Linked DNA regions of Lonchura striata. The protein of the gene in region 2 interacts with the protein of the main gene of each other region in a biochemical or structural test. Links are inferred from orthologs where the notes say so. Each region holds a gene or a part of one and is shown on either strand. Other genes may lie near its edges. The genes, in order: IRF1, SPI1 and MECP2.

Region 1 (10,856 bases), on a different chromosome or scaffold from region 2:
GGAGCTAAACATGTCAGAGGTGGAGGGAAGGGCAAAATAGAAAAGTCTAGAGGACCTTTGCAGACCCTAATACAACAACCTGAGATCAAGGAAATGGCCTCAAGTTGTGCCAAGGGAAGTTTATATTTGGGTATTAGGGAAGAAATTTTCATGGAAACTGTCAAGCATTGGAACAGGCTGTCCAGGAAGTGGTGGAGTCATCATCCCTGGAAGTGTTCAAAAAACAAGATGATATGGCACTTGAGGATATGGCTTAATGAACACGGTGGTGGTGCTGGGCTGATGGTTGGACTTGACATCTTAGAGATCATCTCCAACCTTAATGATTCAGTGATTCTATGAACCTTCAGTCCTACCAGTATTCAGTAACTTCCCCTGACTTTTATAGGGTAAATATTTCCATAATTCTGGGTGTGTCCTCTCCAGTTCATGGTTGCAAAGCAGCTTTCTTCTTAATTTTTCAGGTTTCCTCATTAAGAACAAGTATGTTCAGCTCACATGAGATTGGATCAGATACCTGCTTCCCTTCCTTTCTTGGTAAAACATCAACTTTGGACAATTTTAGTCTGACAAGAAGGGCTGGTTTTACCTTAAAAATATCCGGGTTTATTTCCTCTTCATCTTCATCTGTGACTGTTTTGTAAGCACATAAAAAAAAGGGAAGAAAACATAGATGTCAACTTTTAGCCCTCATACTTCTGCTTCTTCACCACAGAACCTACTTCATATTCTCCTGTCACACAACATGACCACTTTTTATTCATGCCCACCCCAGACAACTCACAGCCCTTCATCTCTGATGCTCTTCAACAACTGCACACTGAGGTGCAGGACTCCAGCCAGCTCTGATGCCTCCCCAGGGCTCAACAGAGCAGAGCCCACTTGCTGTGGAAGATGATAGGAGGAAGATGATTTGTACCCCGAGTGAAGAACCACCCTGATATATCCACCCTGATATATCCATGTTAATTATTTATTTCCCCAGTGATAAGCTTCACATCTCTGCTGGAGCAGGAGGCATTTCAAAGCCTTTCACCCATGGGTAGGTGGCATGTGCCAGCTCTTCCCTTCTGCACCCTGGCTGGTGTGGTAACTCCAAATTCCCAAATCTATCAGGTGGGAGTTGTTTTTTCTATAATACAGCTCTTGTTTCTCCTGTTTGCCCAGACACTCCTTCATCCTGCTGTCTTGCCTCCAGCAGACCAGTAAAAGACTGGGCTAGGAAAAAAGAAATACCCACCCTCTGAGGACGAAGCCAGGGGAGACACCTGGAGCTGGTAGAGGTCGTTGGTGCTGTCAGCCATGGTGACCTCCATCGCTGGCCTCCAGTCGGTCAGGGAGCCGCTCACCTCGCAGGAGGACAGGTCTGTGGGATGCACCAGGAGTTGGCACTCACAGGACAGACACAGCCAGCCCTTTTCCCTCCCTGCCAGTCTCACACTGCACCTGCCCCAGCCCCCAGAGTCATCTTTGACCGTGGGTTTAGCACAAATGGCATTTTCCACTCTGCTCAGACTTAAACCCAGCATCTCACCCAAAGTCATGGCTGTGCTCTCCACCTCCACTTCCTGCCCTGCATAGTCGTGAATAGTGTAGCCACTGTGGTCATCTGGCAAAGGAGTGCTGGTTACGCTTTCTGCTGACTCTTTCAGCATTGTCTCTTCATAACACTGAAAACAAGGGTAAAGCATGTCTAAGAACGTGCAAGTTCCCATATGAAAAAAGTTAAGAAAGAAAACCACCAAAACCTCCAACTTCTTAAGCTGTCTCTACAGACACATACCTTTCTCTTGCTCTTGTTTCTTACTTCCCTTGAAGACTTTGACTTCCTTTCTGTGAAATAAAATAAGACCAATGTGAGAAAGGGCTGCACATTTTAGGCAAGTGTGAGCTCTTGCAGCCTTGAAACCTGCTCAGCAAGTTCAACTACTGCCATCACCAGCCAGTCCCCATGACCCTCTGATGCTGCCTTTAGGCATGTTTAAGGAATTTGGGATAAAATGAACTGTTTGTACAAGCTGTTCCCAGCAATAGCCAGTGAGCAAGCTCAGTAGCATCAGTGCTGCCAACAGGTCTGTCACACCGTGCTTACACACAGAGCCTTTAAGTGCTGTTTAAACAGTGTAACTCCAGCTGGATTGCCAAGGGTTTACCTTTCTTCTGATGCTTTGTCAAGGGTGGCAGCATCCTGTAAACCCTGACAGCACTGGAGCCCCTGTTGATGCTTTTATCCTTCACTTCTTCAATGTCAGGCAGGGAATTCATGGCACAGCGGAAATTTGCCTTCCAGGTTTTTGGATCAGGATCTTTCTCACCTTCTTTATACCTTCCTGTAAATAAGAGATGGGTTGTGTATTTCAGACTTTCCAGTGCTGGTTTTTCCCACAAAGACAGATACCAACATTCTATTTTCTGACACACATACTAGTAGTTAATCTAACTACCAGTGTAAATCTAGGCAAAAAAATGCCTTGTTTAGTCTAGTCATGGGACTGATGGGAATGTAAAGCCAGCACACACCTGTATGAATGGCCCAACTCCGGAAAAGGCAGGCATCCTTCTCCATGTCCCAGCCATGCTTAGCTGCATGTTTCCATGGGATTTGGAAGATCCTCTTATCCTGAAATTTAACCAAGAGATTTGAATTAAAAAAAGAAATGTCACATGCCAGATTGGAGTGATGGATTTAATCAGAGTTCTCAATTGCAGTTCAGAAATGTTCTAACACCCCCTGCTCTGTATTTTAGAGCAGGGAGGGTTAAACTATTGGCATATAACTACAATAGTTATTGAATCTATATTTTAATTAAATAGCCATTGTTCCATCTATTTTGTTCATGGCATTTAAGGCTTTTTATGATTTCTGAAACTGGAAAAAACCCCAAAGGTGCTACAGTACAGTAGAACTGAGCAATATTATCAACTTTATCCCCAAGTAATTTCAATATATCACATCTAACCTATTAGTATGTCATATATTACAGCATTTTTTCTAGATACACTTTGTCAGAGAATCTCTTTTTTAAATTGCCCATAAGATCTTGCAGCAATCCTACCAAAAAATGTCGATTAAATATCCTCTTAGGAGTGGACATGGAAACTTAAGACACTTGGTTCAGTAAGCTCAGTGATCTTGACCTGTGCTACACCCTGGTAACAGGGTGGCCTTACAGACCAAAAAATAGAACATTTCTTTCAGGCTGAATCTTAAAAATGGAAGCAAATGGAGTACAACAGCAGCTGCTTATCTGGAACAGGAGGTGACTTGGCTCAATGAGCAGCAGGAATTAAAAGAGATTTTGAATGTTTCTTCATTCTCCAACATACAAAGAATGTTTTCTTTGCAATTTATCATTACCCTCCTGGGAATTTTCTGAGGGAAAAATGGAACTACTCCACTGTGTACCAAGCAGAGCAATCTTTTCTGCAAACAAAACTGTTCCTTCTTAAACATAGTGCTGGCAAGCTTTCTCTATGTCTTTTCCTTTATGATCTTGACTTGTGTTTAATGTCATTTAAGAACAAGGAATGTTAATGCTATACAAGTAGCATAATGATGATAGTAGTACAAAGCAGCCTCACCTTGTTAATCCATATCAATCCTGGTATTTGATTGGAATCAATCTGCATTTCCAACCACGGCCTCATGCGCATTCTTGACACCGGCATGTTGGCTGTGAAAGAAGTAACAAACAGATCAGACAAACTCTCATCACTGTTTTAACCACTCTGCAGTGCCGCCCCTCCCATACTGTCTGTGCTCGGCATCACCACCAGTGCTACCGAGAGCTGCTTTTCGGGAGTCTTAACTCGTTCGGTGCCTCCCAGGGCTCCTGGAAGGAAATGCTTCCTGCTCCGCCTGGCTCAGCTCCACCACACGGCTCAGGTTTGGCATTCGGCAGAGGCCGACGGCAGCAGTGGGTGTCCAGCCCGTGCTGCGCGGGGAGCTCCGGGTGGGCCCGCTCAGCCCGGTTCCGACCAGGTCTGGGTCCGCCAGCACCGCCACGGGGTGCGGCTGTTCCCCCGCTCCACAGCCACGGAGAGGCACCGACCGCGAAACCCTCTTGCTAAAAGTTTATTATTAATGAAGTTGCGCAAGGCGGGGGCAGCGGTGCTGCTGCAGGTGGGTATCCCCAGCCCCACCACGCCCCGTCCCGAGCAGCGCTGCCGCCGCGCTGACCGGCCCTCCCGGCGCTTCCTCTGCACGAATAATTTCCTGTTTGCGGGCTTTTTCCGAGACACACGGCCCAAGGCTGCCCGAAGAACACGTTCCTAACTTTCACAGCTCGGCCTGGGCGGGACGCGGCCCCGGAGAGTGCCGCCCCGGGCCAGGGGCTGCCAAGGGCTGCCCGGAGCGGAGCCGCCCGAGCGTCCCCGAGCCCTGCGCGCCCGCGGGAGGATGCGCGGTGCCCGCCCCGACGGCCGGGGCCGTGCTGCCGGGGCAGTGCCCCCGCTCCGCCTCCAGAGCCGCTCGGCGCCGCTGGGGCCGGCCCCGCCGCCTCAGGCCAGCCGAGCTGAGCGGCGCCGAGCCCCCGGCAGCGCTCCCATGGACCCTGCCGGGCGACTCCTCCTGGAGCTCCCGTGCTGCGCCAAGTGGGGGGCTAACGGTGGGATGGGATACAACAGGATGGATGGGAATAGGATAGGATATAGGATGATTAGGATAGGATAGGATAGGATAGGATAGGATAGGATAGGATAGGATAGGATAGGATAGGATAGGATAGGATAAGGATAGGATAAGGATAGGATAAGGATAGGATAGGATAGGATAGGATAGGATAGGATAGGATAGGATAGGATAGGATAGGATAGGATAGGATAGGATAGGATAGGATAGGATAGGATAGGATAGGATAGGATAGGATAGGATAGGATAGGATAGAGTAGGATAGGATACAGTAGGATGGGATGGGATGGGATGGGATGGGATGGGATGGGTTGCAGCAGGACCCACCTAGCTGTGCCGTGCAGTGCCGAGCTGTGGCTCTCCCGGCCGACCGACGCGCACCCTCCGCCCGCCGCGCGGCTCTGGCTGCCGCCGGCCGCGCCCGCGGGTATAACGCGGCGGCTCCGGGATTCCCCGCGCCCGGGCCCGGCCGCCGCCCGGCCAATCCGCGCCGCGGCGAGGGGTGGACGCGCCCGTCATTGGCGGCCGCCGCGGCATCACTTCGGGGAAATCACGCTGTTGTAGCACCAGCGGCTCGGGGGGCGCGGCTCCCCGCTGCGAGCTCCGGCCCCGCCCCGCCGCCCGCCCGCGCTTCCCGTGCGGAGCCACCGCTGCCCGGAGCCACCGCTGTCCGGAGCCACCGCTGCCCGGAGCCACCGCTGCCCGGAGCCACCGCTGTCCGGAGCCACCGCTGTCCGGAGCCACCGCTGCCCGGAGCCACCGCTGTCCGGAGCCACCGCCGCCCGGCATCCAGGACCGCCCGGGAGCCACCACCGCCCGGGATCCAGGACCGAACCACGGCAGGATCCATCCTCTGTCCCACCGAAGGATCGGGTTTCTATCCCATGGAGGGATCTAGTCCCTGTCTCACAGAGACATCCAGTCCCTGTTCCATGCAGGGACGCAGTCCCCGTCCCGCTGAGATATCCTGTTCCCTTCCCACAGCGGGATCCAGCCCCCGTACCACAGCGTGCTCTCCCTTTTCAGGAAAAGACGGTGGAGTTGTCAGAGCAATTCCTGTGCACATCATGGTGCACCTAAACCAGGGACCAGCTTTTGCCAGGTACCCACCTGGCCTCAGCAGACCAGTGGCAGGACAAGGGGGAATGGCTTCACGCTTAAGAGAAGGATAGGTTCCAATTAGATATTAAATTTTTCCTTGTGAGAGTGGTGATGCCCTGCAACAGGTTGCCCAGAAAGGATGTTCCAGTCCTGGAAGTGTTCAAGGATAGGTTGGATGGGGCCTGAAGCAACCTGGTCTGCTGGAAACTGTCCTTATTGCAAGGTGTTTGCACCGTTAAGGTCCCTTCCAATCCAAAACACCCTGGTATTCTGGGATTCTGTGATCAAAGGTGATCAGTGTTATTGTCCCCTCTTATCCCTCTTGAAGGAAGCCTGAGGAAGGGAAATGGCAGCATGACAGAAGGCTACTGAAACCATCAGGATTTCTCTGTAACTGTATGACAGGGAGATTAGATTTTCACCCAGTGTCTTCAAAATGCATTTCATTCAGCAGAATATTAGAGCATTTTTAATTACTTCCATAATTTCAAGGAAGGTTTGTAATCATATGCAACAGGAATTTATATTGGGAGAGAGGTACAAAGATGCATGGGCAGCTGAGACAGGAGTGTGACACCACTACACTGACTGTCTGCTCTGGCAAGTTTCCTTCTTTTAGTATAGAGATAAAAGAAAAGCCCCAACCTGGTTTTAATTGCAAAGAAACACCCTGTAAGAGTCCCATGTTTTCTCTTAACTAATGATGTTGTCTGCTTGACACACTTAACTTGTGGTAGGATCCTCCAGTCAGGTCTTTGTGTTGAGGGAGGCACCATTCACCACTCAGATTTCACCACAGGTAAGGATATAATATATTAGGTAAATTAAATATGTAATCAAAGGAGAGATACTAGGTATTACTAGACAAATATAAGCCAACATAAATGTAGCCTGAAAAAGACAGAAGATATTTGATATTTCATTGTAAATGTCATCTGCAAAAATAATCACACTACCTCTTATACAACCTAAATATTGACCAAAAAAGATTATGCTTTTGAGTTACAACCTCCCATGGTTTGCTTTCACCACTTTTCCAGCTTTAGAAAAAAATAATTCTGAGCTTCCTGGTTTCATGGGTCTGCACAAGACAAATGCATCAAACATCTTAAATGACTGGATTTTGAACAGTAACATTTTTTAATCTATGACTTCTTTGACTCCCTTACTGGTTTTATAGTCTGTATCTTGACAGAAATTGACATCAGACACCAAATAAACAGACCTAGAATAGAAATGCATGAGGAAAGTAAACAGCCCCATCCCCCAATCTCCTCTTCTTTCCTTGTGTTTAAACCCAGATCGATCCTACATAATGAAACCTAATTGAGCTTTCTATCTGTGTCTTGTCCCACATCTACATGTCACGTTTCCATGGAGCAGGACCTGCCCAGCCTGGGATGCCTTATGCTTGATTATTTGTTTGCTATCTTTCTGCTGAAACAAGGAAATAACTTGTGTGTCCACAATGTTATTGAGTGTCAGACTCCTTTATACCACACTTACAAAACCTTCTCCTTATTAAACTGACTCCTTCCTCTCATTTATCCCACTACACTAACAACCCTGTCAGCAGCTGACCTCAGGTAGCAAAAATATACATTTACATTTGTCATGTATAAAAGTATAATGAAGGAATAATCTCAGGGAGTCATTAAATGGTTGGCCATAAAGCCCTTCTGCTCCACCCAGTTAATCACCCAAGAATTTCTATAATGTCAACATCTTTATTCTCTGCAGAATCATAGCCCTTCTTCAGCCTTATTTTACAGGTATCTTACCTTGGACACCTTTTTTTTCCATAGTCCCTCCATGAATTGCCAATTCCCTTGTTTTATCGCAGAGAAGCAGATCACTGACATATTTTATCACATTTACTTGATCCAGGGGCATCCCAAGTCTAGGATTGATTGTCGAATGCAGAAGTAATATCTAATAGCATCTTTATTTAAAACCAAATTAAGTGCCAAACAAATCCTCCAGCAAGTTGTGTTTGTTATGCTATAACACATACGTCTCCCTCTCAGCCAGAGCCCTGAGATAAGGCGCTCCTAGGAAAACTGTAACTTAAGTGATACAAAAAATGTGACCTGGATGACATCAGCCATGGCATGGCCTCTAAGGAGGGAGGTTATGGATCAGATACAGAGGCTCAAACATGGGTCTTTTTTCTCTGGCATCATTGCTCTTCTTGTTTAAGCAGCTCGGGATGGCTCTGATACTGTGCTGAATGGAAGAAATTGTGGTTAATACAGAACCCCATGGGTTCCATGTGCCATGGGGTGAACCTGAGGCTCCAAACATCCAGAAACACTTTGAGAAGCTGGAAGGTAAAGGGCAGAAAACCAGAACACTTCAGTGCAGGCATGTCTGCCAATGTGGGTACAGACTGAAGAGCTGCATTCACATCCAGGTGAGCCTCGGGTTCTAAATCTCTAAGGTGTCTTGGGGGAAAGAGCTTGAGCATTGTACCAAGTGCTCATGGCAGTCTTTGCTTTGAAGATTTTCCCTCCCCTGTGAACTCAGCCAGGGGAGAAGGTCCACAGTGGGGAATGTGTGCTCAGACAGTGGGGACAAGGGGAGATGGAGACAGGGAGAGATGGGGTTGGAGCTGCCACAGAAAGTTTCTTCTGGGTGGCTTGGTAGTGAGCCCAGGGAGGCAGCAGAGCCCTGGGTCTGCATGGCCAGGCAGTATTTGTGGGGGGGGAGTGAACAACCACAGGATGGAGCAGGGGTTTGTGGAGGGGAAGAGTTGGAGCACAGTGAGAGGGAGCCTCTTATCTCTTTCCTCATGGCCCTGGCTGCTTCCTTCCATCTCTGCATCAAGACCTTTCCATGCCCACCAGGCCTCAACAGCCCTTCCAGACCCCACTCTGTGAAGGTTTGTTTGTTCCTCTTTTCAACCTGCTTTAAGAGAGACCTGCTTTAATTCAAGCCCTTTCCAATTTCCCCCCCTCACCTGCCTCTGTCCCCTTTCCCCATCAGCTCAGAAACAAACCTTCCTTTGTGGAGCTGGACTTAAAAAATGGGTGCAGAGCTGTTCCTATAACCTAGACATTGTCATGGCTCCCCACTAAGGAGCACCCAGCTGCTGTCACACTTTGGTGACCAAGGTCATCTGTGGGCAGGAAATGCCTCTTCCTCCCAAGGGCTTTCCAGGTAGTGAGGGGTTAATGCAGAGTGATTTTTTTTCAGGAGCAGGGATGGAGTATCAGCCTTAAAAACTGCCATGAGGCAGCCAACCAAAACTAGCTGCTGGTGGGTCAGAAGCTGTGAGGGTGCAGGGCTTGCTCCAAGCTGTTTCCATTTCTTATAAATGCCTATTTTACAGAAAGGAACTCTGGTTGAAGCACATGCAGGATAATGAATGTCAGAAATGTTGAAACTCTGCCCAGATGGCATGATGTAATCCCAGCAAGTGCTCTGATCTGCAGGCAACAATAAATATATCCTGGGATGGGCCATTTACAGTTTCCTGGAATTGGAAAGACCTATCTAAAGACTCAAAATTATTCCAGTTCTTCCCAGTGATAACACAGCAAATTTTTTTAATTAGACCAAGCAGAGATTGTGTGCTTGTTTTGGTGGGAGTAAAGGAAATTGCAAAAACTTCACTTGTGATCTTGGACTTTCCATGCTCCTTGAAGGAGGACACAGACATGCCATGAACAATTTGCTGAGGGAAATTCTGTGAGCCGCAGGCACCTGGCAGCTCTGGCAGTTTTGCTGACAAGGGTGCAGAAAAATGATGCCAAAGGGACTTGGACCCTCTCACTTGGGTCTTCACCCAGGGCACAGTGGAGCAGCTGTGGGACAGTGACAGGGCTGTGCTGACCCAGGGTGCCCTGGGGTCCTGGCCAGTAACTACCAAGTCAAATGGGAACCCATGCATTTGAGACTGCTGGAGTCCTGCCAGTGAAGCTGGGGCTGAGATCAGTAGAAAAAAAGGTGAGTTTTGTCTTCAAGTTCTTTGGTTTGCCCTTAGAGCATCCATCTGAGAGTGTGAATGGACCTCCTGCCCAACCAGCCATCTGCAGAGCAGGACTCGAGCCAAAGGGACAAGCAGCACGTGGTGGGCAAGGCTGGCTGTGCTCTTATCTGGCTCCTGGCTGGGAAAGTTTGCTCCATCCTGGACTGGAAAAGGTGCCAAACCTCCCAACTGTCGGAAGGGAAGGACAGGCCAGTGCCTGTGGCAGTGAGGTGCTGTGCCCCCAGCCCTTCTCAGGGGGAGGCAGGGGCTCCTGGGGGCTCTGGAGGCAACTCCACCTCCTGCCCAGCCCCTGCCTGCACCTCCTGCCTGTACCTCCTGCCTGCACCCAGCCCCTGCCTGCTGTTCCTGCAAGCAGAGGCAGGGACACCCTGGGGATGGGGCTCCAGGAGAAGTCAGCTGGAAGTGGAGGCTGCAGTGCAGTGACCTGTGAGCGTTTCACCTCTGCTTCATCTTGGAAAGAACATCCATAATGCCTGCTTTGTTTGAAACAGCGTGTCCTGCCCTTGTGCAAAGAGGGTGCCAAAAGGAGGCAGTGGGAAGGGGGCTTGTCCCAGCTGGGACAGACTGAGGGTGAACAGCAGGATAGGACCTGGGCTGAGCTGGGCTGCTGGTTCCAGTGCTGGAGCAGCCATGGCGACATCAAAGATCTTGTAGGACCATATCAAAGAGTGAAAATCATAAGCTAAAACATCTGAGTTGTATTCCCTATATTTTAATCATTAATTGGCTTTTAACCTTGATGCCAACTGCAAACATCTCTGCCCAGACACAGACCACAAGGGAGAAGAGCAGCCTTAACATATAATACCAAAATTTACATAAGCAAGACTCAGATTTGGTGCTTGAAAAACATCTGCCTGAGGCAGGTGTGGTGCTCCTGTCCTGCTGGGGTCAGAGCAGACACAGCTCTCACTTCTGGCTCTCAATTTTTGATGCTTTCAAAGAGGGTGCTGTAAGCACTGGTCGTGTCCCCTCCAAGAAAAAAAGGAGAAGCCAAGTGACACATCCAGCTGGATGCTGGAGGAGGGAACTGGGACTCAGCTAGCCATGGCTGAGGGACAGTGGCGGATCTGCAAGGAGAGAAGAACCTCTTGCAACCTTCTCCCAACCAAGGAATGGGGGGCAGCACCTCCC
Region 2 (11,052 bases):
TATCTTTGCAAATTAGTTCATCCCACATTAGTTGATTTCATTTCCCTAAATATATGCTTCTTGTTAAGTATATAAACTTATGTCTTCATATTCAGAATTTTAAATTATTATAATTTATATTATAAATTAAAAACTAATATTAATTATAATTAATATTATTAATTACTAACATTCAAAGGAAAGCATTCATGTTATGTGAAAGGGGAAATGTCAACATCTAAATGGAAAATGCATATCATACTAGTTGGGAAAAAGTCATATAAATGTACAGTGTTTGAAATAAAAATCTCTGTTTCCTCACAACTAAAACTAGAAATTTATAGAAATTATTAAGAAGTCAATATCTAAATGCATTGAAGCTTTAAACACTGGTAACTATGTAGCCAAAATTAAACTAACTTAGAAATAAATCAGTATCCTATCAATTGAGGCTTAATTTGCTAAAATTTCCACTGATACAACAAGATATCACTCATATCTTTACAGAAGTATAGCTTGGCAGGAAGGCCAAGCATTAGTGCAAAAGTAGATAACAATATGTATTTTAGCCATAGAAAAATACATTTGGCTTTTCCTAATTGTGCTTTTCCTGTGTTGTCTTCTCTCAGTTTCCAAACTCCCTCACTTTGGACAAATATACATTAACAGCCAATAGTGTCTCCCAGTCTGACAGCTGGGAATTAAATATTTTACAAGTCAAAAGCTACTTTTACAGCTCAGATGTATATTCAATGACCAGAGCTAAAGGGAGGTGTGTTAAATAGACTCTTAAAACAGTGATTCTCTTAATATTTACAGATCTGACTGACTGCAGAGTAACTTGCAGATACTCAACGTCTAAAAATTATTTTACATAGGGCATTGGGTTTGAAAGTCTGGGGCTTAACATTTTTTTATTCTGGATTCTTGGAATCTTTGTCCTTGGATTTGTTTCCTGTCCAGTGATCCTTTTGATAAAATATGTATGTGTTTATCCTTGTTAACTCATGCCACTGGACCCATCCCCACAAAGGACTTGTAATGCCACCGCTTTCTATCTTCGTGCCTGATCTTCAAGGGCCCCCATTAACCAACATGGAAAGATGTATATTAAATATTTAAAAGTCTACTTATCATAAATGTAATCAGATGGTGGTTAGAAGGACATATAACAGCATGTATTCTCTCTGATTATCCTATGGGAAAGTGGGATATTTCCCTCCATTTATCAGAGAGTCTATTTTCAATAACATAGTTTTAATTGCTTTCTGTATTTTTTGGGGGGGGTTGTTGTTTTGGTTATTTTTAGAAAAGTTTCTTTAGAAATGCTTCCTCTAAGAAGAGAGAAGAGGTTTCACCATGTACTGCTGTTGCCTCTTGTGCCAATCTTTACCCACTTGCCCTGTCCTTCTCTGGAACCTCCCCACCCACACCCATTTCATCATCTTACTGACAGCTCTTCCATGACACTGAACTGTTTAGTTACTCCTGACAAAAAGCAAAGAATAGCTCATGTTTAATATTTAACTGATGTCAATGGCCATTTGTTCTATCGGTTGTTTCCATGTATAAGAATGACTGAAAGCTTTGTTAGGATCCCATAACTGTGGTCTAAAGTTGGTATCTCCTTTCATGCGTGCCATGAGGTGCAGTGCACTATCTAAGACAGTATTCTACCCTAGAGTGAGAGGTCAACAAACAATACTTTCTGTCACAGACTTGATAAATGAGGAGTGGCCTCAGTCTTCCATCTTTGCCCTGAAACTCAAGGGAAAAGCCACAAAACCAGTCAGAGAAAGCCTCAGTTGGCATTGGTTAAGAGAGACACATTGGACTCAACTGAATAGCAGTCTGAAAATTTTGTTATTCCCCAAGACTTTGTCAGAAGATTCCAGGAAATTGTAAAATCACTAAATGCTAATCTGTTTTTTATCTTGGTATAACTATTCAGAGGCATGTGATTCAAAAATACTTCAGACAATTTCCAGCGATGTGCCGCTGATACAAGCTTTAAGGTCAAGATTAATTTTATTTCCTTGGAAAAAAATTACAGTATAACTATTTTAGAAAAGATGAGTAAAAATACTAGCATGATTACTCATTGGGCCATCCTCACTGGACCATGTTGGCAGTGCAGTTATGTGGAACAGAATACTTCTGTGGGGCATTTTTGCTCTCATGCAAAAATACTTCATTCAAAGCTATGATTTCTACAGGTGGCTACTTAAGGATTCATATAAAACTGGAACCCTCTTCAGGCAAAAGTGTTTGACTTAATAATGTTCTGACCCGTAACACAACTGAATTCTACCATGCACTGGAAGACACAGACCCAGTTTGCAGAATTTTTCCCCACAAAATTTCTAATCTTCAGAGGAAGATGCAGTACTCCCAAACAATTTAAACAGTGTTTTCCATCTGAAGGATAAGAATTTCCTAGCTTGGGCAAGAAAAAGCAGTTACTGACCCACCCTCAACTGAACGGGGAGGGGTGGAGGAGGGAAGTGTTGCTGCAACCCCTGCCTAGAAACAGGCTTGTGTCTCCCCACTGAAAAAGCCCCAGGAGACACAGACATGCAGGAGTGTAGCTGCAGTGCTCAAAGTGCACTTAAAGCAGTTTTGAAAAAACAAACAACAATATTCAATTTTTGGCAGTTTAATCACAAAACAAAAAAAATCAAGTTGCCCTGTCAAGTGCTTAATGAAGATGCACTTGGTTTTTCACTGCCAGTTGTATTGCTCATCTGAACACAACCCAGACAGAATATTAACTACAAAACAAATTAGAATATGGGCCAAACTGTGTTAGATTTTCACTCAATTTATTCAACATATGTCCTGGAATTCAACTCTGGGGGAAAAAAGAGACAGAAAACTTGGCTATGAGTTAATAAATGGACAAAAAATTAACAATTGCTTTGTTTTTTTTTTTTAAATGGAGATGTAGTTTTCTGGGGTAGCTAAGGACAACAAGATTTGTGTTTCTTTTTAATTTATTTTTTTTAAGCCAAACAAGTAACATACTGAGAAATCTCTATATATGTTTTTTTTTTTTTAGTTAGTTTCTATTCAGATTTCTATTCTGTTGCACTTGCACCAGACCCATTGGGAAATTCTGCATATTTAAGAATAAGAAAAATATTTGTAGTCTCCTCACCCTTTGAGTAGATAGGTGATTTCAGGGGCACTGATGATAAACTGAGAAAATAAAGGGTCTCCCCCAAAAATAAGATAAATACTTTCAGTCAGTCATCATGAATTCTGAACATGATAGGAATTCAAAGGGCAACTTTTCTGGATGGAAGATAAGAAATGTTTTTAGTCTTCATTAAATGGGACAAGACAAAGCCAGAACTTGATACAAGTTTTTGCGAAAAACCTCTTGGATCTGCATTGTCTCTTTTCTTCTCTGTCACATGTATAGCAACTACTGTAAGCCATCTACCACATAAAAAGCAAAGTGAACCACCTTATCTGGCACGTCTTCAGCTTCTACAAACTTAATGAAATCTAATTAAGGCCTCTTGCACCCATTCTGTTTAGAGATTTCCCATTAAGGCTGGTTTGTGAACACCAGGTTAATGACATTATTTTTTCCATAAATAATAATTTTTTAAATCATCATATGATAAATTACAGCAGTGCAACAATTCTTCAGAGTTAAGGAAAGGATAGACCTGCCCCATAAGCACACAGAAAAATTTATATCTTAGAGAAAACATTGAAAGAATCAAATAAGGACCGCAGGTTTTTCCCCATATGCCAATTACTTTTTCACAGTTAGTGAATTCAAGAGAATTTAAGAAAATATTAAGTTAAAAACTAAAATGCCATCATTGAAAAGAACACACAGAATCCTAAAATCTGCAATATGCAAATGAACATTCAACAATTCTCTCACAGATTAGTAGACAGTTAAATACATAAACTATGTCAGAGACTTCAGATGATTAAGAATTACAATCTGAAGAAAGACGGCTTTTATATCACGTAGGTGGCACTGAAGAAGAGAGATTTACTGACTTGCTATAAATGCCATGTACAAAAATACCATACATTTAATCTCTGAAAACAAATGGAGATCAAAATCAGATACAAGTTTGGGGAGGAAATGTTAATTTCCCTTTCATTGCAGTGTTGTCACTAGTTTTATATATTGACCTAAGCCAAACTTCCTGACATTATAAATACAGACCAAACCAGAGATATTCTCAAATAAATAAAACTGGTTTACTTTGCCTTTTACTACTGAACCAAATGATCCATATTACAAATAAATTCATATACTCACAGGGGGAATAAGGGGAAATCCTTCCATCTTGCAAGCTTGCAACATTCAGCCAACTTCTGAGTGAATTTTTCTTAATTCAGTTTTCAAACATCCAGAATAACTGACTTGCAAAAAATCATATTTTAAAAATGGGAGGAAAAAAGGAAAAATAAAGAAAAAAGAAAAGGAAAAAAAAAAAAGTGAGATCCTTGGACTCTGTGAAGTCCCTTAGCAGTGGTGGATCTCAGGACAGGAGGACCCTAACAAGTTTTCATAGTTTGCCCTAATAGGTTCTGAGGTGAACTTCTTCCCGAGTTGTATGCGAAGTTCCTGATTTTATCAAATGTCTGTAGAAGGCAGATAGGCCTTGGGTCTATCTGCGCTGTGACATCACACTTGAGCCAGTTTGCATAAATCTCATTTCAGGGAGCTGTGGCGCTGCAGCAGGAAGTCTGCCCCAGCATGGACAGGTGCTCTGCTGTACAAGCAGCAGCCCAGGGCCTGCCATGAGCGTGCGGTGCAGCGCCCGGGGGAAGGCTCTGTGCTCCCACTGCACATGAACCAGAACCATGGTGCTGCTCTCTGCTTTAATGAGACACCATAGACACAGTCCTGACAACTTCTGTGAGGCCAGAGCAGTGGCATAGACTTGCATCAATAATAGTCCTGTGTTGAAATTTATGTGGCAATACTTAGCAGGTAAGAAAAAAAAGAGTATGCAGTTTCAAATACACAGTCTTAGGTTTATACAAACACTGAAGTTATGCCCATGAGACTTTTCGTCGTCAGCTTTGCATGAGAGTAAATTCAGTGAAAGATACTTTGTCCTCTTACTTGTTTCTTGTGAACTCTTTTCTTTTCTAATTCCTACAGGAGAAAGTGAGTGGGGAAAAGGAGAAAGTATTACATGTCCTTCAGGTCCCGAGTACCTTTAGCAGTGAATAGAGAACAAGATCTATAGACTCCTGCTTGAAGATTCAGGTGCAGAAATACCTTGTAGAGATTTTGTGTTAGTTCTGCTTGCTTGATTTTCTCCCCTCTCTTTATCCCACTGTTCTGCTGGCATTTGGCTGCACAGAACAAATGCCCTTCATATGCAGGTTCTGGCAGTGCCAGAGGTGAGTGGGGCATGGGGCAGGACGTAGGGGATGGGGCCTGGCTACAGGGGGAGAGAGCTCTCATTCTGCAAAATGCCTTCTTGCTTTGCAGTTAGTTACTAATGTCTTGGAAAAGTGAAGTTTCTTTGTCTGGTTTGTTCCCCTTCAGTCTATACCCATGTGCCACAGGTTCTGCTTTTGAAAGCAGCCTGCTTACCACTCACCTGGATCTGTGTGCAAGGGGGAATTTCAGCCACTCCAGACTTCCTCCCTTGTACACTGGTAAAACCAGAGGCCACTCACAAGTTCCTCTCATTCCCCACCCTCAGGAACTCCATGAGCAAACCATATTAGCAATGGGATAATATCAAGAACATGATGGGATATTAACTCTTGAAGCTTCTAACTGGATTTCATCAGCATTAGTTGATACACAAGCATTTAATTCTTCCTTAATTCATACCATGAACTCTTGACTTCAGCCTGGGAATAAGCAAGCTGCTTAACAGTCCACTTCTGCTTCTGAGATGGTTCTCAAGTCACCCCCTGGATACCAGCCTGGAAGTGATCAAACCACCTGGGGGAAAAGGAGAGAAGCAAAATAACACCCTGATGATAAAATTCAGTGCAAACAGAAGAGAAGGGAGTGAACACACAAATCTTACAGTGGGCAATTGAATAATAGGTGATAAAAGCAATTGTGGAAATCCTGTGTCTATTAACAAGGCTATTCAGAGCGAGGAAGATATGCTATCTGATTCACTGCATATTGAAAGATAGCTTAAGCAGCTTCTGCAAATATTAAACATGTGTTTTATACAGAGAGGCTTCTACTAAAGTGGAATGAAACTATATTCCATAGGCTGGAGGACATTTCTGTACTGACTTTTAGCAGAGGAAATTGCCTAATTAGGACAGATATTTTGCACCAGCCTTACTGCACTCAGGGAATGCTGACTTGCCAACATTATCGACTGGGTCCAAACATATAGTAATTGTAAGTGCATCAAGGCAATCAATATAAAGAATTAAATTGATTCTCTATATGCTGACTCAAAACTAAATTATATGACATAAGGTTTCAGGACGAGCAGGAAGTCCAGCAATTGAATAATCTTCCTAGGAAAGAGGATATGTCCATAAATGGAAATGCTCAAAGTGAAATAAAACACTTGTTTATCACAATTGTATAGCAACATCATTAGTAACAACCTTGCTAAAGTTCAACACAGACTAGTTTCTCACAATTGCATATAACTGATATTTTATCCTCTGTTTGTGAGCACAGAATCTTCTCACCCCGAGAGCAAGGGCAGCTAGAGGTGATACTTTTGCCCCAGATCCTTGCAGTTGCCTTATTAGATTACTTAAACCAAGAAAATAGATGAAATTACAGAACAGTTGTGTAGTAGTGAACTGATTTCCAGAGTAACTGATGTGAACTGCTACTCACAGGGTGCATTTTGACCTTTAAAAATACTTTTGAATTTGGATGAAGATCCTTCTCCATAATGGAATTTGAGAACTAGAGAAAAAACTGATGAGCTGAAGGATTAAGTTTTTGAAAGATTATTTCTGATAACATTAAACATTCATCTGAATCTTTTCCCTCTAAGCATCACCTCACTGTGTGCATTTTTCTTGGAATATTTCTTGCCCTACCTCTAGCCATTTGTTCTTTAAGCCATTTCTAACCACAAACTACCAAAGCAAAAGGGTTTCATCTAGCAGCCACATCACAGAGAGGTCTCGTCACCTCAAACCTTGTTTGGTGCTTGGAAGGTAATTTTCCCCCCTACTAAAACCACAGACAACATCACTCATTCTGTAGTTCTTTAATCAGAAACAGGTGTTTACACAGATTCTGCTTCTGAGTTTTCTTGTAACAGAAAGACAACACCTCTAAGCAAGGAATTCCCCTGTGTTCTGTATTCTTCACAGTATTATGTTTTGGCATGGAACTTGTTTTTATCTAGACCTAATACAGCTTGTAGGTCTTGTATACCATCCTTTAACATTTACTATCCATTGAGACTACATGGGTCTCTGACTGTGGAACCTGTGGGGTCTGGAGGACAGTCTTCTCTTGATAACTGCTTGTTGCATGCACTCATACTGAGGTGAAGATATTTGTTGAAATATCTTTATTGCATATGTTGTTGTGAGAGAGTAGGAGGCAGAAAATGGCTGCTGCAAATTCTGGCTGAAAAGATTTTATTACCTCTTTTTTCTCACGTGGACCTGCACCTCAGGAACTTTAACAGACTGACTATACTCTCTCCTGAAATATGTGCTCCTATTTCTACTGTGGTGGTATCACTCACTGATGTTCCCTTGTGATACCCACAGGTTTATTGGCATGACTGTATTTCAATAAAGACTTTTCCTCACTATATGGGTATCCCTTCCCAGAGCTGATGCAATTCATACTTGCAAAAAAGTGCTTTTTGACAGTTCAGCTTTCATGAGTTCCTGAGTTTTATGTAACAGCATCTATACAAAGACTTTTGCTAGTGGGAAATGTGATAAAATGCAATTAAAACATCAGTTTTAGCTAACTTCAATATATTGACAAAGATTTTCAAGCATAGACTAGATTCCATCCATATGAGAATGGAGAAAACCACTTTCATTTGGAGGAAGAGAAAACTTCATGGATATTTTAAGAACTATTATGATATGCATTCACTTACAGAAATGAAAAGCATTTATTTTTTTCAGTTGATTAGTAACTTTTAAACTCTTCATAAAACAGAATTCAGCAAAGAAAAAATCTCTCTTTGGCAATTTATATGGCTTTAAGATCTGTTTACGTGTCATCTGCATTTTATTACTTACTGTATTTGGGAAAACTTGTTTGGGTTTTAAGGCATTTTCAAATAACTATATGGTTATGATTTTATATGGTTTTTAATGATCTTCTGCATTCTGTGGGCAACAGATTTTCAATTTACACATTTCTGCTCGCTTATTGTTATCCAATCTCTCAAAACCTTAGTATCTTTTCAAGCAATTAACATGGAAGACTGCTTTAACCATCTACTTCTGAAGTCTACATCCAGTGTGCATCCTACCTACAGTCAGTAGCACCAGTAAGGTGAAGGCAGAATTGTCTATCACCCTCTCACCTCCACACAGCCTCTCCCCAACCCCCCCAAAAAAAATCAGATACTTTAATGGTAAAAATTAAATTATAAATTTAAGGTGAATCTGTGATTCAGCTTGAGAAGAATATATTTGTAGAGAAAACTACTTGCTGCTGATGGAGGCTCAATACACCCTGTATTTCTTTTGACAAGGTGTCACTTCAGATTGATTCTAGTCTGATGGCATGGAATTCCCACTTGCAGCTGGAGATCTGAGCTACATGTTCAGTTTAATCTGAAAATAATCCAGTTTGTGCATCCTAATATTTCTGTGTGGTGCAAAGTGTAGTAAGTGGGAAGGATCGGGATATTGATTTTAGAAGTGTTCTTATGATCCGAACTATTTTGTTGGACTACATTCACCACTGGAGAGGATTCTTACCGTGAGTCTGTAGTGACCTCTGCCAAGCTGTGTCAGAGACATCTTTTCTGTGTGGAGCTTGATTTGTATATTTAGGTAGCAGTTCTTTCCTGAGAGCTCAGCTGTACCTAGTCTTGATCCCTAATGTAAATAATACTTTCCAAGCTTGCATCTTATTAGGATTATACCTCTTAGCAATCTCTCAGAATTCTAAAGAGAACAAGGCTATTCACAAATAAATGTGCTTAGGTAGCTGGTGGATTTGTAGCTGTGCCTCTGGCTCTCTGCCACCACTTTGATGAGGACTTTGTGCTTGGAATGTTGCACAGACAGAGGAACTAAAGTACTGGGAGCCAGTGCTGTCTTCCATCCTCCCCATGGGTGTTTGGCTGCATAAGAGCTGAAGTATGTATGCAAGGCCTAGGTCACAGCTTTTTGTGTGTGACTAGGCAGGTGTGTATGACACACTCAGGAGTATATTATCTGTTGAAACTTTTTACCAACTAGAAAATTGTGTTTAAATTAATTACAATTCATTCTTTTGTATCCTCAGACCATCTTTACTAAATAAGTCACATACAGTTAGGTTATTCAGTCTTCACTTTTACTTTCTTGCCTGTGATTTTATTCAGGTGTCTTGAAATCTGCAGGGTTTGGTGAAAAGCTGAAATCCTTACCTAACCTGGTAGAAAAAATTAACAGCCTAGAGATAAGTAGCTCCATCTTAAGCTTTTCCTTTCTTTAAGAGCAAAGTTTGCCTAGTGCTTTGTCAAGTGCTACATCAGCCAGGTAAAGGATACAGGCCCATTGAAGGTGCTGATAAATTTTTGTTTAGATGCCGTTATTTTGCTCTATATTTTTAGTACTATGTTTTTTGCAAAGTTGTTCTGCTAACAATAAATGCGTTGATACTTTATTTCCTCCCTTCTCTTGTTTGCATGACTGTGACTATTGGTCCTCTAATGTTGCAATCTTTTCATTTTAATGCAAGCAATTTGCATTAAAAAATCTACAGTACCGTAGGTACTGTACTGAACTCTATTTAATTTTTTTTGTTGTTGTGCAATGTATTACATTGAACATTAAACAATTACATAACATATTGCACATTAAAGAAAAAAATACTAGGGGGGAATACTTTTGTGAAGGGTATTCAAAGGACATCAAAATTTGGTTTTGATGTGATAGTTTAAAGGAAAATAGTGGAGAAATACAGCAGAAAGTTTTTGAACAATGATCTCCCCCTTAGAATGGAGAAAGGAGAGGAAGGAAAAAGAGTCTGAAGCAGGAACACCAGACAGAAGGAGACTTGTTTTTCAGGTCATTGGTGGGCAAGAGTTTAAGCAATAAAGGAAAGTGAAAAATTTTCCACTTACAGGTGTTCTGCAAGAGGAAACTGCATATCCTTGATAAAGCCTGGTTGTGTAGATGGGCACAGACAGCCTCTAGGACAGCAAGCCTTACAACAGCTTTGCTGATAGAAGGCGGGAGAAGGAAAACTGAGAGGTTTTGTTTTGGCCATATTATATTAATGGCAGTATTTTAAAGAATGTTACAGAAGAATAAACTAAGAGGCATGTATCTTGGAAAATTAGAAAAATAGAATTATATTCCTGTTTTATGAGCAGGAACAGTCATAAATCTGAGCAAATTAACCATGTGGAGAGCCGAAGGTGTTATGACAAGGATTTCAGTGCAGTGGCAGTGGGGTGCAGAGGAGCAGAATGCTTTGATTGCAAAGTGCCTGTATATGGTTGAGGGGGGGAAAGGGAAAGAGGAACTTGGGGTATCTTCATTTGTAGGACTGGATCAATTCACAATAATTACCAGAAGGAGTTAAACATTTTCTGGGGTTAAAGTGAATCAGAATCTGCACACCATGTGCTGGAAATTCCCTAAATGATTTCAGTGGTCATTAAGAAAAGGGAAATGGTACTTTTCTGAGTAGGAGATGATGGGAGACAGAGGAGTAGACACCAAAACAGAGCCATGGCTGACTATTTATAACTCAGATTACAGGACTCCTGCCAGCTGAGAAGGGGACAAACATTCTCAATGGCTTTTTCTTTTGATTGGGGGTCTTTTTGGTAACCACTGTGACCCTCTGTGATGGATAACACAAGAAGCTGAGATACAGTTCTCTTAGAAATACTACGTGCAGTTATGTACAGCATAGGCAAATATAGGTAAAGCTGCTGA
Region 3 (10,076 bases), on a different chromosome or scaffold from region 2:
ACAGTGCTGGTCAGTGCTGGACACACGGACAGAGCCCTGGACACAGTGCTGGTCAGTGCTGGACACACGGACAGGGCCCTGGACGCACGGACAGGGCCCTGGACCCAGCACTGGACACACGGACAGGGCCCTGGACACATGGACAGAGCCCTGGACACAGCGCTGGTCAGTGCTGGACACACGGACACTGACAGACACAGGGACACAGCCCAGTGAGCTCCCGGACACAGCGTTGGTCAGTGCTGGACACACCAATAGGATCCCACGACTCTTTGGACATGGTGCTGGTCAGCACTGGACGCATGAACCCAATGGACACACGGACACAGACTCGCTGGACACATGGACCAGGCCCTGCAACTCTCCAGACGCAGCATTGGTCAGTGCTGGTTGCATGGACCAGATGGACACATGGACACAGCCCTGGGGATCCCTGGACACAGCACCGGTCAGTGCTGGACACACGGACACTGACAGACAGGGCCCTGCACCTCTCCGGACACGGCACCGGTCAGTGCTGGACACACGGACACTGACAGACAGGGCCCTGCACCTCTCTGGACACGGCACCGGTCAGTGCTGGACACACGGACACTGACAGACAGGGCCCTGCACCTCTCCGGACACGGCACTGGTCAGTGCTGGACACACGGACACTGACAGACAGGGCCCTGCACCTCTCCGGACACAGCACCGGTCAGTGCTGGACACACGGACACTGACAGAAGGGCCCTGCACCTCTCTGGACACGGCACCGGTCAGTGCTGGACACACGGACACTGACAGACAGGACCCTGCACCTCTCTGGACACGGCACTGGTCAGTGCTGGACACACGGACACTGACAGACAGGGCCCTGCACCTCTCCGGACACGGCACCGGTCAGTGCTGGACACATGGACACTGACAGACAGGGCCCTGCACCTCTCCGGACACGGCACTGGTCAGTGCTGGACACACGGACGGGCCCCGCATCTCTCTGGACACAGCACCGGTCAGTGCTGGACACACGGACAGGGCCCCGCATCTCTCTGGACACAGCACCGGTCAGTGCTGGACACACGGACAGGGCCCCGCATCTCTCTGGACACAGCACTGGTCAGTGCTGGACACACGGACAGGGCCCTGCATCTCTCTGGACACAGCACTGGTCAGTGCTGGACACACGGACAGGGCCCCGCATCTCTCTGGACACAGCACCGGTCAGTGCTGGACACACGGACACTGACAGACAGGGCCCTGCACCTCTCCAGACATGGCACTGGTCAGTGCTGGACACACGGACGGGCCCCGCATCTCTCTGGACACAGCACTGGTCAGTGCTGGACACACGGACAGGCCCCGCATCTCTCCGGACACAGCACCGGTCAGTGCTGGACACAGACCCCGCCGGACACACGGATGCAGCACCGCAGCTCCCTGGACACGGCACTGGTCAGTCCCGGCTGCACAGATGGACAAACGGACAGGACCGGACACACGGACACGGCACCGAATTGGCCAAAGCAGGGGATGGGCCTGGCCAGAGCCAGGACAAGGAGGAGGAGGAGGAGGAGGAGGAAGGAGGGGCAGCCCGGACCGGCGGGAATTACGGCCGCGGCCGGAATGCCATCCCAGCGCTGGTCAGTCGGCGGTGTGGGGGGCACGGAGGGGACGGGGGCTCGGAGTGGACACCGGACGTCCCCAAAGCCCCGTCCGGGCTCGGCCGGACTAAAACCAGCCCTGGGGGCCGTGGTCAGCGCAGGGCTGTCACCGGGGCTGTCACCGGACCCCCGTGTCGGTGTCACCGGGGACGGGACCCTCGTTAGGGGGGGATTTGGGGTGGGGTGGGACCCCCGTCCTCGGTGTCACCGCTGCCACCGGCGCGGGGGTCCCGTCCTGGCGAGGAAACACACACAGGTGAGGCTCGGGGAGGGGCGGGACCCCCACCGTGGGGTCGGTCATGGGGAGGGGGATGCAGCCCCCCAGGACCCCCTCCCCAGCGCTGGGGGTCCCCACGGTGACACCCTGGACATCAGGAGAGCCCCCCGACCCCTCCCCACCGAGAGGGGAGCACGGCCGGGACCCCCCAGCCCCATCCTGGGGCTAAAAGTCACAAAAACGGCACCAAAAAAATTTGGGAAGGGGCGTGGGAATGGCGGGATGAGGGGGACTGGGGACAAGGGGTGACCCCCAGGGACTCCCCGACATGTCCCATGGTCGGGGGGCTGAGGTGGCCCTGGGTGGTCTCTTGGTGGCCCTGGGGGGTCCCTGGGAGGTCCCAGAGGGGTCTGGGGTGGCCCTGGTGGCCCCAGGGTTGAGGATCCCAAGGGGGTCTTGGGGTGGGCACAACCCCGGGCACAGCAAAGGTGGGCGTGAGACCCCAGATTTTGGGGTGTTCCGGGGAAATTTGGATAATTCTGGCAACATTTGGGAAATTTAGGGATGATTTGTGGGATTTCGGGGCGTGAGGGCAGTTTTAGGGCAATTCCAGGTGGGATTTGGGGGAATTTGGGGGGACTCGGAGGGGCCGCGGGAGCGCGGCTGTTTTGGGGGAATTTGAGGCGTTTTTGGGAGCAGCATGAGGGGAACATTTGAAGCAACTTTGAGGCGATTCTGGGTATTTTGGGGCTGTTGTATTTTGGGGGAATTCAGGGTATTTTGGGGTAACTCGGGGAGTTTGGGGGCGCTGCATGAGTGCAGCAATTTGGGGAAATTTGGGGGATTTTTGGGTAAATGGAGTGTTTGGGGTGTGCTGCCTGAGCAGCGTTTTGGGCAATTTTGGGTATTTTGGGGTGGCGCACGAGCAGAAAATTTTGGAGCAATTCAGGGGATTTTAGGGTAAATCGAGAGGATTTGGGACACGGCGTGAGGAGCAGTTTGGGGCAATTTTGGGTATTTTGGGGCGCAGCATTTTGGGATAATTCAGGGGGTTTGGGGGCGCAGCGTGAACAGCGGTTTGGGGCGTTTTCAGGTATTTTGGGGTGCATCATTTTGGGGCAGTTTGGGATAATTTGGGGCATCACGTGCATGCAATAATTTGAGGCAGTTTTGGGGTGCAGCATTTTGGGGAAATTCCGGTTATTTTGGGGTAACCCGGGGTGTTTTGGGGCACCACGTGAGTGCGAAAGTTCGGGGCAAATTTGGGTATTTTGGGGCGCAGCGCAGGCGTAACATTTTGGGGTGACTCGGGGTGTTTTGGGGCGACTCGGGGTGGGTTTCGGGGTGACTCTGGAGTGGGTTTTGGGGTGACTTCAGGAGGGTTTTGGGGTGACTTCGGGGTGGGTTTTGGGGTGACTTCGGGAGGGTTTTGGGGTGACTTCAGGAGGGTTTTGGGGTGACTCCGGGGTGGGTTTCGGGGTGACTTCAGGAGGGTTTGGGGGTGACTTCGGTGTGGGTTTCGGGGTGACTTCTCTGGGGTGGGTTTTGGGGTGACTTCAAGAGGGTTTTGGGGTGACTTCAGGAGGGTTTTGGGGTGACTTCGGGGTGGGTTTTGGGGTGACTCCGGGGTGGGTTTCGGGGTGACTTCAGGGTGGGTTTCGGGGTGACTCCGGGGTGGGTTTTGGGGTGACTTCAGGAGGGTTTTGGGGTGACTCCGGGGTGGGTTTTGGGGTGACTTCAGGAGGGTTTCGGGGTGACTTCGGGGTGGGTTTCAGGGTGACTTCAGGAGGGTTTTTGGGTGACTTCGGGGTGGGTTTTGGGGTGACTCCGGGGTGGGTTTCGGGGTGACTTCAGGGTGGGTTTCGGGGTGACTCCGGGGTGGGTTTTGGGGTGACTTCAGGAGGGTTTTGGGGTGACTCCGGGGTGGGTTTTGGGGTGACTTCAGGAGGGTTTCGGGGTGACTTCGGGGTGGGTTTCAGGGTGACTTCAGGAGGGTTTTTGGGTGACTTCGGGGTGGGTTTTGGGGTGACTTCAGGAGGGTTTCGGGGTGACTTCGGGGTGGGTTTTGGGGTGACTTCAGGAGGGTTTCGGGGTGACTCCGGGGTGGGTTTTGGGGTGACTTCGGGGGGGGTGTCGGGCTAACTCGGGGAGTCACGGGGTGATTTAGGGGGGTTTGGGGTAACTCTGGAAATCCGGGGTGACTCGCGGGGGGTTCGGGGTGGATTTTGGGGCGACTCGGGAAGGGTTTGGGGCGGTTTTTTTGGGTTTTTTTTGCGCGCGGGACGGGCCGGGGGGGTGTGTCCCCTTGTGGGGGGGGGGGTGGGCGGGGGTCCCTGCGAGAGATGGGGGGTCCCCAAATCCCACCCTGACGGGATGGCGACGCACACAGGATTTTGGGGAAGGGGTGTATTTTGGGGGGGGGGGGGTGTCCCCAAATTTCACAGCGGCGCTGAGGATGGGGTTGGAGGGGGGGGGCCGCATTTTGTGGGGCTGGCGGAGGAAAGGGAAGGGAGGTCCCCCCGTGGCGGAGGGTCCCGAGGAAGGCTCGGGGGGTCCCACCGAGGGTTCCCCGGAGCCGGGGGGCTCCTCCCGCCCCCCGGGGGGGCCGCGGCCGCTCGTGACGCACTCGCGGCGCTCGCAGCCCCCCCCCAGCCCTCACACACACACACACACCCCCCCCGCCCGCCATCCCCGGTTCCCGCCCGGCCCGTGAGGGGAAGGAAAAGGGGATGTGGGGGGGGGGGGGGGGCGTGAGGGAGAGAGGAGGGGGGGGGCGTCGCCCCGTGCGCGCGCGCGCGCGAGACCCCCCCCCCCCCCCCCCCACCGGCTCTCCGCTCCCTCACAGCTTTCCCCAACAGCCGCCGCGGCCCCCCCCCGGCCCCGCCGCCCCCTCCTCACTCACAGCCGCCCCTCGTCGCCGCTCGGCGCCGCCGCCGCCATTTTCTTCGCAGCGAAGAACCCGCGGGGGGGGGGGGGGGGGGGAAGCTGAGGGGGGGGGCCGGGAGGGGGGGGGCGGGAGGGGGGGGGGGCGGCCCGGACCGAGCGGCGACGGGAACCCGGAGCGGCGCTGGCCCCGCCCCTCCGCCCGGCGCTGATTGGCGGAGCGCACCGTCGGTCAAGGCGTCGGCGCGCGGCGATTGGGCGGCGGGGCCGCCCTCCGGGGGCGGGGCCGGGGCGCTCGCGGCGGGCCGTTGGAATTGGCGGGAAGCGCTGTCAGTTACGGGGGGCGGGGTCGGCGGAGCGCGCGCGGCCGCTCATTGGGCCCCGCGCCGGGACGCCGGGTGCTGATTGGCTGTAGGGGACGTCGGTCAAGAGACGGCGGAGGGGGCGTGGCCTGGGCCCCCCCGCGCTGTGAAGGGTTTGAAATCCAACGGCCGTAACGGTCCGTGAGGCCACGCCCCCGGCCACGCCCCCGCGAGGCCACGCCCCGACCACGCCCCGCCCGCCCCGGGTCCCGCTGCCCCAGCACGGGGAGAACTGGGACCAGTATGGGGAGAACTGGGACCAGTACGGGGCAACTGGGACCAGGACGGGGAGAACTGGGACCAGTATGGGAATAACTGGGACCAGTACAGGGAGAACTGGGACCAGTATGGGAATAACTGGGACCAGTACGGGGAGAACTGGGACCAGTACAGGGAGAACTGGGACCAGTACGGGACAACTGGGACCAGTACAGGGAGAACTGGGACCAGTATGGGGAGAACTGGGACCAGTACGGGACAACTGGGACCAGTACGGGGAGAACTGGGACCAGTACGGGGAGAACTGGGACCAGTATGGGAATAACTGGGACCAGTACGGGACAACTGGGACCAGTACAGGGAGAACTGGGACCAGTATGGGGAGAACTGGGACCAGTATGGGAATAACTGGGACCAGTACGGGGAGAACTGGGACCAGTATGGGGAGAGCTGGGACCAGTACGGGGCAACTGGGACCAGTACGGGAATAACTGGGACCAGTACGGGGCAACTGGGACCAGTATGGGAATAACTGGGACCAGTACGGGAATAACTGGGACCAGTACGGGGAGAACTGGGACCAGTATGGGGCAACTGGGACCAGTAGGGGGAGAACTGGGACCAGTATGGGAATAACTGGGACTAGTACGGGACAACTGGGACCAGTACGGGGAGAACTGGGACCAGTACGGGGAGAACTGGGACCAGTATGGGGCAACTGGGACCAGTACGGGGCAACTGGGACCAGTACGGGGAGAACTGGGACCAGTATGGGAATAACTGGGACCAGTACGGGGAGAACTCGGACCAGTATGGGGAGAACTGGGACCAGTATGGGAATAACTGGGACCAGTATGGGGCAACTGGGACCAGTACGGGGAGAACTGGGACCAGTATGGGAATAACTGGGACCAGTACGGGGAGAACTCGGACCAGTATGGGGAGAACTGGGACCAGTATGGGAATAACTGGGACCAGTATGGGGCAACTGGGACCAGTACGGGGAGAACTGGGACCAGTACGGGGCAACTGGGACCAGTACGGGGAGAACTGGGACCAGTATGGGAATAACTGGGACCAGTACGGGGAGAACTGGGACCAGTACGGGGAGAACTGGGACCAGTATGGGGACAACTGGGACCAGTACGGGACAACTGGGACCAGTACGGGGAGAACTGGGACCAGTACGGGGCAACTGGGACCAGTATGGGAATAACTGGGACCAGTATGGGAATAACTGGGACCAGTACGGGACAACTGGGACCAGTACGGGGAGAACTGGGACCAGTATGGGGCAACTGGGACCAGTACGGGGAGAACTGGGACCAGTACGGGGCAACTGGGACCAGTACGGGGAGAACTGGGACCAGTATGGGAATAACTGGGACCAGTACGGGGAGAACTCGGACCAGTATGGGGAGAACTGGGACCAGTATGGGAATAACTGGGACCAGTATGGGGCAACTGGGACCAGTATGGGAATAACTGGGACCAGTACGGGACAACTGGGACCAGTATGGGGAGAACTGGGACCAGTATGGGGCAACTGGGACCAGTACGGGGAGAACTGGGACCAGTATGGGGAGAACTGGGACCAGTACGGGACAACTGGGACCAGTATGGGGAGAACTGGGACCAGTACGGGACAACTGGGACCAGCATGGGGCAACTGGGACCAGTACGGGGCAACTGGGACCAGTACGGGGCAACTGGGACCAGTACGGGAATAACTGGGACCAGTACGGGGAGAACTGGGACCAGTATGGGAATAACTGGGACCAGTATGGGAATAACTGGGACCAGTACGGGACAACTGGGACCAGTACGGGGACAACTAGGACCAGTACGGGAATAACTGGGACCAGTACGGGGACAACTGGGACCAGTACGGGGCAACTGGGACCAGTACGGGGACAACTAGGACCAGTATGGGAATAACTGGGACCAGTACGGGACAACTGGGACCAGTATGGGAATAACTGGGACCAGTACGGGGAGAGCTGGGACCAGCACAGGGAGAACTGGGACCAGTACGGGGCAACTGGGACCAGTACGGGGAGAACTGGGACCAGTACGGGAATAACTGGGACCAGTATGGGAATAACTGGGACCAGTACGGGACAACTGGGACCAGTATGGGGCAACTGGGACCAGTACGGGGACAACTAGGACCAGTATGGGAATAACTGGGACCAGTACAGGGAGAGCTGGGACCAGTATGGGAATAACTGGGACTAGTACGGGACAACTGGGACCAGTACGGGGAGAACTGGGACCAGTACGGGGAGAACTGGGACCAGTATGGGGCAACTGGGACCAGTACGGGGACAAGTGGGACCAGTACGGGACATCAGGGACCAGTATGGGGATCGTGGCCACCAGTCCTGGACCAGTACAGGCACCACAGACTCCAGTGCAGGACCAGTATGGGGACAACTGAGACGAGTACAAGACCAGTAGAGGCACCAGTGCCACCAGTATGGCACCAGTATGGGCACTGCAGCCACCAGTAAAGAACCAGTATGGCACCAGTATGGGCACTGCAGCCACCAATAAAACCAGTATGGCACCAGTATGGGCACTGCAGCCACCAGTACGGGGACCAGTATGGAACCAGTATGGGCACTGCAGCCACCAGTAAAGAACCAGTATGGCACCAGTATGGGCACTGCAGCCACCAGTATGGAGACCAGTATGGAACCAGTATGGGCACTGCAGCCACCAGTAAAGAACCAGTATGGCACCAGTATGGGCACTGCAGCCACCAGTAAAACCAGTATGGCACCAGTATGGGCACTGCAGCCACCAGTATGGGGACCAGTATGGCACCAGTATGGGCACTGCAGCCACCAGTAAAGAACCAGTATGGCACCAGTATGGGCACTGCAGCCACCAGTATGGGGACCAGTATGGCACCAGTATGGGCACTGCAGCCACCAATAAAACCAGTATGGCACCAGTATGGGCACTGCAGCCACCAGTACGGAGACCAGTATGGAACCAGTATGGGCACTGCAGCCACCAGTAAAGAACCAGTATGGCACCAGTATGGGCACTGCAGCCACCAGTAAAGAACCAGTATGCCACCAGTATGGGCACTGCAGCCACCAGTATGGGGACCAGTATGGCACCAGTATGGGCACTGCAGCCACCAATAAAACCAGTATGGCACCAGTATGGGCACTGCAGCCACCAGTAAAGAACCAGTATGGCACCAGTATGGGCACTGCAGCCACCAGTACGGAGACCAGTATGGAACCAGTATGGGCACTGCAGCCACCAGTAAAGAACCAGTATGGCACCAGTATGGGCACTGCAGCCACCAGTACGGAGACCAGTATGGAACCAGTATGGGCACTGCAGCCACCAGTAAAGAACCAGTATGGAACCAGTATGGGCACTGCAGCCACCAGTAAAACCAGTATGGCACCAGTATGGGCACTGCAGCCACCAGTAAAGAACCAGTATGGCACCAGTATGGGCACTGCAGCCACCAGTACGGAGACCAGTATGGAACCAGTATGGGCACTGCAGCCACCAGTAAAGAACCAGTATGGCACCAGTATGGGCACTGCAGCCACCAGTACGGAGACCAGTATGGAACCAGTATGGGCACTGCAGCCACCAGTAAAACCAGTATGGAACCAGTATGGGCACTGCAGCCACCAGTAAAACCAGTATGGCAAGGACGGCCACCAGTCCGGCCACTGTGGCCACCAGTTTGCTCACGGTGCCCCCAGTCCGGAGCGGGGTGGGGGAGGGCGGGGGATGAGCGGGGATGGAGCTCTAATCCCCCCTCCCCCACCCCCGGCCCCTCCCGACCCCCCCCCCGGACCACCCCCCAACCTCCCCGACCCCCTCCCCAATATGGGACCCCCTCCCAAACCCCCTCTGGACACCCCCAAACCCCCCCGGACCCCCCATCCCCCCCAGTCCATGGGTTCCTCTCCCCTCCCCCCAACTTTTTTCCACCCCCCCTCCCCGTTTCGGGGGGTCCCACCCCCGCCCCCTCCCCCCCCCCGGATCGGGGCCACCTCCGGGGGGATTGTCCCTAATCCCGGCCACCCGTGACCCCCCCGGGATTAGGGGGACACCTGGGGGGGGTCCCCAGAGGGACCCTGGGACATGTAGTCCCCCCCTTGGGGGGGGGGGTGGAGGGCAAGGAACCCCGCAAATGTCAGCCGGGACCGCCCAAAATCCCCCGGGACCCCCCAAATGATCCCCGGGACCGCCCAAATTCCCCCGGGACCCCCCAAATGTCAGCCGGGACCGCCCAAAATCCCCCGGGACCCCCCAAATGTCAGCCGGGACCACCCAAAATCCCCCGGGACCCCCCCAAATGTCAGCCGGGACTGCCCAAAATCCCCCGGGATCCCCCAAATGATCCCCGGGACCACCCAAAATCCCCCGGGACCCCCCAAATGATCCCCGGGACCACCCAAAATCCCCCGGGACCGCCCAAATGATCCCCGGGACCACCCAAAATCCCCCGGGACCCCCCAAATGATCCCCGGGACCGCCCAAAATCCCCCGGGACCACCCAAATGTCATCCGGGACCACGCAAAATCCCCCGGGACCCCGCAAATGTCAGCCGGGACCGCCCAAAAGCCCCCGGGACCCCCCAAATGTCAGCCGGGACCGCCCAAAATCCCCCGGGACCCCCCAAATGATCCCCGGGACCGCCCAAAATCCCCCGGGACCCCCCAAATGTCAGCCGGGACCGCCCAAAATCCCCCGGGACCCCCCAAATG

What was found.
Region 1: the proteins of SPI1 (region 2) and IRF1 form a complex in vitro, tested with the Homo sapiens proteins (2 studies listed by BioGRID). The link is inferred for Lonchura striata from reciprocal best matches to the Homo sapiens genes SPI1 and IRF1.
Region 3: the proteins of SPI1 (region 2) and MECP2 form a complex in vitro, tested with the Homo sapiens proteins (2 studies listed by BioGRID). The link is inferred for Lonchura striata from reciprocal best matches to the Homo sapiens genes SPI1 and MECP2.

Annotation. Positions count from the first base shown.
Region 1 is NC_134617.1:10,775,920-10,786,775, forward strand, and holds the start of IRF1 (interferon regulatory factor 1), read right to left. Parts: upstream 5,064-10,856; 5' UTR 4,958-5,063; intron 3,675-4,957; 5' UTR 3,670-3,674; coding exon 3,583-3,669; intron 2,621-3,582; coding exon 2,521-2,620; intron 2,331-2,520; coding exon 2,154-2,330; intron 1,834-2,153; coding exon 1,784-1,833; intron 1,671-1,783; coding exon 1,535-1,670; intron 1,367-1,534; coding exon 1,241-1,366; intron 634-1,240; coding exon 590-633; intron 1-589. UniProt on the Homo sapiens protein: Transcriptional regulator which displays a remarkable functional diversity in the regulation of cellular responses.
Region 2 is NC_134608.1:39,308,144-39,319,195, forward strand, and holds the start of SPI1 (transcription factor PU.1), read right to left. Parts: upstream 4,599-11,052; 5' UTR 4,316-4,598; coding exon 4,271-4,315; intron 1-4,270. UniProt on the Homo sapiens protein: Pioneer transcription factor, which controls hematopoietic cell fate by decompacting stem cell heterochromatin and allowing other transcription factors to enter otherwise inaccessible genomic sites.
Region 3 is NC_134638.1:1,377,864-1,387,939, reverse strand, and holds the start of MECP2 (methyl-CpG-binding protein 2), read right to left. Parts: upstream 4,810-10,076; 5' UTR 4,801-4,809; coding exon 4,763-4,800; intron 1-4,762. UniProt on the Homo sapiens protein: Chromosomal protein that binds to methylated DNA. It can bind specifically to a single methyl-CpG pair. It is not influenced by sequences flanking the methyl-CpGs.